Bombyx mori: one gene and its partner. The protein of the gene in region 1 binds, or shares a complex with, the protein of each later gene. Links are inferred from orthologs where the notes say so. Each region holds a gene or a part of one and is shown on either strand. Other genes may lie near its edges. The genes, in order: disks large 1 tumor suppressor protein and G-protein-signaling modulator 2.

Region 1 (3,833 bases):
GAGTTGTACGAAGAGTTAAATGTAAATTAATTGAAATAAAATAAGAAAATACATTTGACTAAAACAGTTCGTCTTTTAAGACTCAATCGTTGTTAGGTAAAGCATAGCTTTAATGTAAAGACAACCCAACTTCAGACAGATTGGTTGTTAGCGGCCGCACGAAATAAAAACTGCGTAATGACCTACATACATTTAATAGCAAAATGGCAAATATATATATGATCGAGGGCGGACATGGTGCACTTACCGTCAGCGTTAGCGTCCTCCTGCGTGTAACAAAGCATGAAAGCTGTAACAAATTGTATTATTAGTTTTTTTTTTAGCCCGTCGCATATTATAAAGTATAATACTTTCTCTTTCTCGCGCGAACGTTAGAAGAGGACGAACGGTACAGGTCGTATAATATGCGGCACGAGCTAAACAGCTTCGTTGATGAACGATCTATTAACTATTTTTAGTTGTTTAGATGTTTTTAACTTACATTAGGAAATTTAATTTCAATAATTTTTAATTCGCGTTCACATAAAATTTAAAATTTTCCTTGCCAAATTTTCACAGTGAGAGTATAAATTAGTGTACCCAAGCGATTATAAGTGGGAGCCGATGAGTCGAAATCCCATGTTAGTAGTGCAAAATTGTACATGGTTTTTATAGTATAAAGCTCTATAGTTTCTAAGCTTCAATTAATTAATTTGACCATCAAATTAACAAACTTGTTGCATGTATCATAGTTTCTCTTAAAATGCTGTGCTCTTGACTAAAAAATGTGTTTATATAAAAATAATTATGAAAACTTCATACCGTCAAAAATATGAATGTGTTGAAAATACTTTAAAAACGACTTACGTTCTTGATCGGAACCATCTTCAGATTTGCCGTCTTCTCGACTCTTCATGAATGGGAATTTTCTACTGAAAGATAAAGTTTTCTTTTTCCTTTCCAGAGTGGATTGGCTCTTGAAAAAGAAATCATTTGATGATTAGTATTTTTGGGAAATTACAAAGTTCGAATATCGTGCCAGCCAAGGTGTCTCTTAAGAAAATACATAAAATAGGTTTTATTAAACAAGTTGCACTATCAGGAAACACATGCTCTGTTGCTTTTAAATTTAATATAATTTTGAGGTAATCGTGACCTAAAAACGACACTACTTGTTGGTGTATTCATACCAAGTGGTTTGCTAAAATGGTATGTTTTCAGTATGTGATCCACCACTGGGCGTCGATTTAACCTTTGAAGGTACCAGTAGTGTAAGTTAATAAAACTATAACGCTCGTTCGAATTTAGGGGCTTACTCTCCCTTAAACAGAATCCTTTGGGACTACAATAATGTCCACGGTAGCGCGGCGGTCTCCGTCAACGTTCCTTCGGAGTTATCCAATTGCGCTGAACTAATTTTAAGTGAAATAGATGTTTTTTCTAATTGTCTCACAAAATCTGTCGCGGATCATGTCCCAATTAAATATAAATTGATCTTAAGCAATCAATCAAATGTAATCAAATCTTAGTTTTATAATTTTTTAATGCACTGTCGATTGCACCTATAATTGTGGTGACATCTGCCATGAACTTTTCTCAATTTGTCAATGTTTTGTATTGATGATCACTTTGTTGGTGCAACTTAATAAATAAATAAATAAAATATATAATACTGATTTACATTGACCCCAACCTAGTGAGTTGGATGAGGATAAAACAAAAAATACTCACCGTACTGACCGGTGTACCCTGTCCCTGGAATTTAACTTGTCGATCGCGTGCCCGCTGTTTTCTTTCCCATCGACGTTTCGAAGGAATTATACCGATAGCATCGGTGTCCACTTTATCCTGACCCAGCCTTCTGGAACATTGATTTATAAATTTGCAAAACAGTGACATTGACATCTGACTTTGTGTGATGCTGAAACAACTATCTCTAAAATGAAACTAAAATTTATAATCAAGTTGGTATGTGTTGCTGTGTAGCATTCACGCATTTCCAGACTAAATTAAAAAAAAAGGGTGGACGAACTCACGGCCCTCCTGGTATTAAGTGGCTATCGGAACCCATAGACATCTACAACACAAATGCCACCACCCGCCTTGAGACATGATTCCGAAGGTCTGAGTATTTTGACTTTATACATAGTTTGAAAGTTTAAAGTTTGGATTGTTGTCAATGTGACAGAGTTAATGACATAAGTAATATGTGCGATGATGCTTATTAGTCCATCGGTTAGGCTATATTATACAAGAAACCAGCGTACCTGGCTTGCCACCATTCGTCATCGGACGCATTTGTAACATGCAATATATCGCCATATCGAAACGGCAATCCTCTCGAAGGTAGACCATCGTCTCGAATGGGGTCGTAGTCAAATAATGCTCTGTAAACGATAACAAACATAATTAAAAAAGCGTGGACACAATGAAAGCACTAACACTATGAAACTTTATGAAAACCACGAAGACCACTTATCAACCTATATTACAGATGGATCTGTCATGATCCCTTGTGGATAAATGTGATATGTTTGAAATACATCCATTTATTGTAACAAATAGTGTACTATGCTAACAAATTCCCTGAAGTGGGTACAAAAATACAAAAGTTAGTTAGATACACGGCCTGCAGATCCATAGAACAGGAAAATGGAAAAGCTTCTCTTCAGAAAACATATCATATCTAAAATTAAAAGTAAATAAAATTATTGATCTAACTCATTCTTTATCTCAATAAAACTACCAGTTAAAAGTGTATTAAATAGGCACATATGATTGACTTTTCTACTGCACGTTTTCCCATTACTCTCCCGTAAACTCAGAAAGTTTTTACCTCAAAAGGCCCACAACCACAGAGTTTCTATGCTATTAACAATATAAGTATGATCACACACATTACACAATTTTATTACATGGTTTTCGTTATTTTTTTCATAACCTACCTTACATACAAGGATCGTTTTTGAGATGTCCGTAATAGCGTATGATGTTGTTTCAATTCATTGATTCGTGCTTCAAACTTATTGTATTCTTGTGGACGATACACAACAGTCAATTTAACAATTTGACCCGTGCTCTAGAAAAATAATTACATATCTCTTATTAATATTTTGCTCTGCATTCTAGTATCATACAAAACACATAGTTAAAAAAGTTATTAATTTACGGCGCTGTTGCATGATCACGGGTAAATTAAGTGTTGAGAACTCAAGAAATGTGAAATCATTCCGCCATGACCTATGCAAGTGTAATGTTCGTTCACGCGGCTCGTGCACACAATCTCCAGGTCATCTTAACGACAGCCAAAATCTAGAAATGATGTGTGAGTATCTTAAGGATGCATCAGAACGCTACTTTGATAAAGCGGCACGACACGATAACTTTTTTATCGTAGTCATCTAATTACTTATCATGTCTTGTCGGATACTCCGAATCCGCTCTCGGTGCTTTTAGGCTCTCCAAGCAACAGGCATCGTCGTCGGCTAACTAGCCCATAGACACAAGCCACTGAAAATCTCTCCGGACCTTCTCAGTGGACCGCGATTCCAATTCGGTGGTAGATTCAGCGAAGTACTACTCTTGATAGGGTCAATGTTAGCAATTCTTGCGGGTTGAGCCCGTGAAGATCACGTACCGGTCCACGCGTAATTGGAATAGTCTCTTAAGCTACAAACGATTGGGTAGGAAAAAATGCAATCATTCCAAGAACACGTTAAATAATAGTGTGTATAGTGAGATGGAGAAAGTTTAAAACAATTAATGTTTTAATTGAAAAAATTCGAAATGGGCCACAATAGCAGTATATTGAACTATTGATCATGCAAAAATATGCATACTAGTGCAGTTTTCCT
Region 2 (3,833 bases), on another chromosome or scaffold:
CATGGACATCTACAATTACACACATATACACATGGACATATAAAATTGTTTATTTATTTAATTATATCTCAAGTAAAGTTTCAATAACGTAATATGATTGATGTATGTGTATGCTTTGAAGAGTTCCAATACGAGCATAGAACGGTACAAGCGCGACCGCGGCCTGTATCGACTGACAAACGACTCCGATGATTGTCGCCGAATCCAAACGCACATCAAAGTATTAGTACTCCCGGAACGAATCACGATTTGTCGCCCACATTTCAATTGCTCGGAAAATTTTACAACCTTTCCTTTGAATGTAACGTCGTCAATAAGCTGTTCAGGAGAAGAGGGAGTGTCTTCAAAGCGTGCCGTGGTAATGAGGAGACACCGCTGTTAGATCTTAACTTTCATAGCTATAAATGTTAAAACTAAGCTGCTCTACTGAGACACTTCCTGTATAAGAATAGCGATATTTTTAATTTCTATTTCAAACTTACAATAATTACATGATTGCACAGCTCAGTAATGTTGTAACATTATGACTATTCTCGATGCAGTCTTAAGGAATTACTTATATAGTTTGTTGTCTTTTTCTTGGAGTTAACTATTAGCTTTATTATTTAAAGAAACCTTATTCGAAAATAGCCGCATCGATTTCCTAGTACAATATGAGAGAACTAATATTAATTTAAAATTATGAATATTAGATTATTTCCCTCTAATGTCTAAATAATTTAATATTTATATGTACGATATAAAGTTAAATTTTCGTCAAAGGTAAAAATTACTTAAACAATTTTTTTACTACATTTTTTTTAATGTTTTATTATTTATTATGTTTCGATACGTGTGTGTACGAGAACAAATAATTGTAAGACACCTCACCACCGAGCGACTTGTGAGCACGCACAGGTAAGACTCACCAACCTGCCTATTTTTTCCGCGGAGCAGTAATGGGTTCTAGTTTTGCGTGGGTCAACCTTTATCTAATGCAGTTGAGTTTTCGGCCTCATGTCCCAAGATGGGTCGCGGTATTCATGTTGTGCGATAAGCATATCGGCTGTGGTAACCACTTAATAACAGATGAGCCGTCGTTTCAAAAATCAAACCATAATTTGACAAATAGTAAAACTTATGGTTGGTATGACCTCTTTCAAGCAAACATGTTAGAAGAAAATTATGGCACACAGAAAAGTTGCGATTATCAAATTATTATTATATTTTTTTTTATAGTTAGCCGTACGCGATCACTCATTATTATTAAAAAAAAAAATTAACTATATCGAAATTATAATTTAATTTGCCTTTAATTATTAATTACACTTGTTCTTTATTTTTTCTTTCAATTCCGCACTTACATTAGTGAAAAATATGAAAAGCCGTTGACGATTTCGAACGTAAGTATTGCGAAGTTTTCCCGCTAGAGAAGAGTGTAGGTAAAGCGCGCGATGAGTCGCGGACCGCGCTGTGCAGCGCTGTGAGACCACTGAGCAACCGCCCCCGGCCGCGCGCACCCCGGCCCGACCCCCCGGGACCCGGGCCCCGCCGGAACCGAACGCCACCTAGCCTCTCGCTATGCACTAAATAACTTTAATGGAAACTGCAACACTATAATTTCATACTGTGGATGGTTCGCAAATTCGTTCGGAAAATACGTAAGGAGACACTGGACAGTGGACGTCCTCATTTCGGAAATACATTATGCGAATTACTTATGTGCGATGTGAACGTATTCCTGAATATATGAACAAGGCAAAAACATTAAAACGAGTGGGTAACTGATATTACTGACCTCTTTCGATATGGTATAATGTTCAATGGCATAATACAATGCTTTCTCGTGGTTGCCGAGAGCCGCGTGGGCGTTGCCCAGAGACCAACAGGCCCTGCCTTCGCCAACTCGATCCTGAAGCTTCCTGGCCGCCTCCAGGTGCCTAGCATGGTACTCTTCCGCAATTCTATACTCCCGGAGTAACGTGTACGTATTCCCTAAGGAGTAGCAGGCTTGTGCGACCACCGCTTCGTCTTTTAATTCTTCGGCAATCGCCAAAGTCTGTCTGAGAACAATTTATTGACGATCATCGAGAGTCACCTGACTGAGTTGTGGAGAGGACGAGCACAGCACAAAAACGCAAAGCAAAATATGTATCTCACACAAACATAAACAAAATTAAAATTAACAAAACATTAAACAAATAAATCAATCGGCAAGGAATCGCGCAAGTAGCCGGCAGCGTTGCTATGTGCAAACATTATTTTACATGCTGTGTAAGATTTAGCTAATGAGCTAGTCACTTCTTTATATAATTATGTCGCCACTCGTTACAAATGATCATTAAAAGTACGAATTCATAAATCAACTTGCACAATAACTAATTGTACTCACTAAAATTTACGTATGACGCTAGATACAGTTTCATGTGATACATCTGTCGAGGAGTCCTGCACTGAACAAAACACACGAATTTCGCGCGCTGCAGTCCAAACTAATATCAAACAACGTAACAGGATACATGGCTGTAATAATCTCGTTAGGAGTTTCGGTTTCACATTCGCCGTCACCTACCACGGTATTCAAACTCACTTGTAATGATCGGCCGCGTTCTCAAACTGCCCGAGGAAAATGTGTGAGTTTCCAAGATTGCTGTGGGCGCGTCTTTCGGCTGCCTTGTCTTTACATTCCTTGGCCATTTCCAGTCGCTCCGTGTGGTACTGAACAGCTACATTAAATTCACCAAGCAGGTAGTAAGTGTTTCCAAGGTTGCCGCAAGCCCGACCGATGGCTAGGCGATCGTTCAGCTCACGCATGAGTACCAAATTTTGTCTAAAATCATTTGGCATATATAAACTCAACATAATAGTAGAAAAATTTACGTTTTTGAGATCTACATTATACAAGTACATACAATGCTGTTACTTTGTTATTTAACCGGAATTTTTTAAATAAGGAGACAAATGAATATAAAAGAATAAATATTGATGGAAAACTCACTCATAATAGTTGACTGCTTGTAAAAGGCATTCGCGCACCTCTTGGGGAAAATGTCCCGGATCGTTTTGTCCGACCTTTCCCAGATGTTTACCTTGGGCATGGTATACGTTGGCCAGGTTGTACAGAGCTCTACCCTCGCTATTTCTGTCGCCCAGGGAGCGAGATATCTCCAGGTGTCGGAGGCAGCACTGTATGGCCTCATTGAACTTTCCTATTACTTTAAGGGTGTTGCCTAGATTACCTGAAGCTTTGGCTTCGCCCAGCTTATCATTCATGGTTCTGCGAATAAAGTGACACCTTAATAATGTGACAGAAATTTCTGAGTGTAGTATGTGTACAGAATTTTAATTTAATTTAGTTATATTTTAATGGAATTGTCAACTTAATAGTAAGTGTTAGTTGAAATTTTCCCCAACTACATCTTTAGGTTAAGGAACTAAACATAGATACATACGAGCAAAATGGGAATACCATTTCATTTAAATTTTATCTCGTATTACGAATCTTTCAATAAATGTGAATGGACAATCTAAACAACTTCCTGTTATAAGTATGAAACAATCACAGAGATCTCATAGCTGCAAACTCATTTATTGAAACTTAATTAAATTTCCACAAACTATCGACAAGAACTTACAATTAATTAAAATGTAGACAATAAATGTTGGAAGTTAGTCTTTCTTAGTAAAGTTAGTCTTTCTCTCTGAAGTAATTAAAATAGACGAAAGAAAATGCATTCCAAATGCGTGCAGCGACACGGCCGCGGCGAAATTCAATGATCTGATCCACACAGATTTGCAATTAAGGAGAAGTATCAATACTATTTGATGATCCGACATTACGCTCGTGTTTTATT

What was found.
Region 2: the proteins of disks large 1 tumor suppressor protein (region 1) and G-protein-signaling modulator 2 are in contact, whole or in part, in a crystal structure (PDB 3TVT), measured with the Drosophila melanogaster proteins. The link is inferred for Bombyx mori from reciprocal best matches to the Drosophila melanogaster genes dlg1 and pins. Residues at the interface, in NP_996406.1 of Drosophila melanogaster: Cys808, Val809, Pro810, Arg814, Arg817, Arg824, Asp825, Tyr826, Ile839, His842, Phe844, Ile845, Glu846, Ala847, Gly848, Gln849, Tyr850, Tyr855, Ser877, Asn879, Arg883; in NP_524999.2 of Drosophila melanogaster: Arg434, Met437, Gln439, Leu440, Asp441, Leu442, Ile443, Lys444, Ile445, Thr446, Pro447.

Annotation. Positions count from the first base shown.
Region 1 is NC_085118.1:7,814,385-7,818,217, forward strand, and holds part of disks large 1 tumor suppressor protein, read right to left. Parts: intron 3,059-3,833; coding exon 2,925-3,058; intron 2,367-2,924; coding exon 2,247-2,366; intron 1,841-2,246; coding exon 1,711-1,840; intron 956-1,710; coding exon 847-955; intron 290-846; coding exon 248-289; intron 1-247. UniProt on the Drosophila melanogaster protein: During embryonic development, some isoforms are essential for proper neuronal differentiation and organization. Required for cell polarity; maintenance of apicobasal polarity.
Region 2 is NC_085107.1:20,243,445-20,247,277, reverse strand, and holds part of G-protein-signaling modulator 2, read right to left. Parts: intron 3,257-3,833; coding exon 2,978-3,256; intron 2,810-2,977; coding exon 2,570-2,809; intron 2,043-2,569; coding exon 1,778-2,042; intron 1-1,777.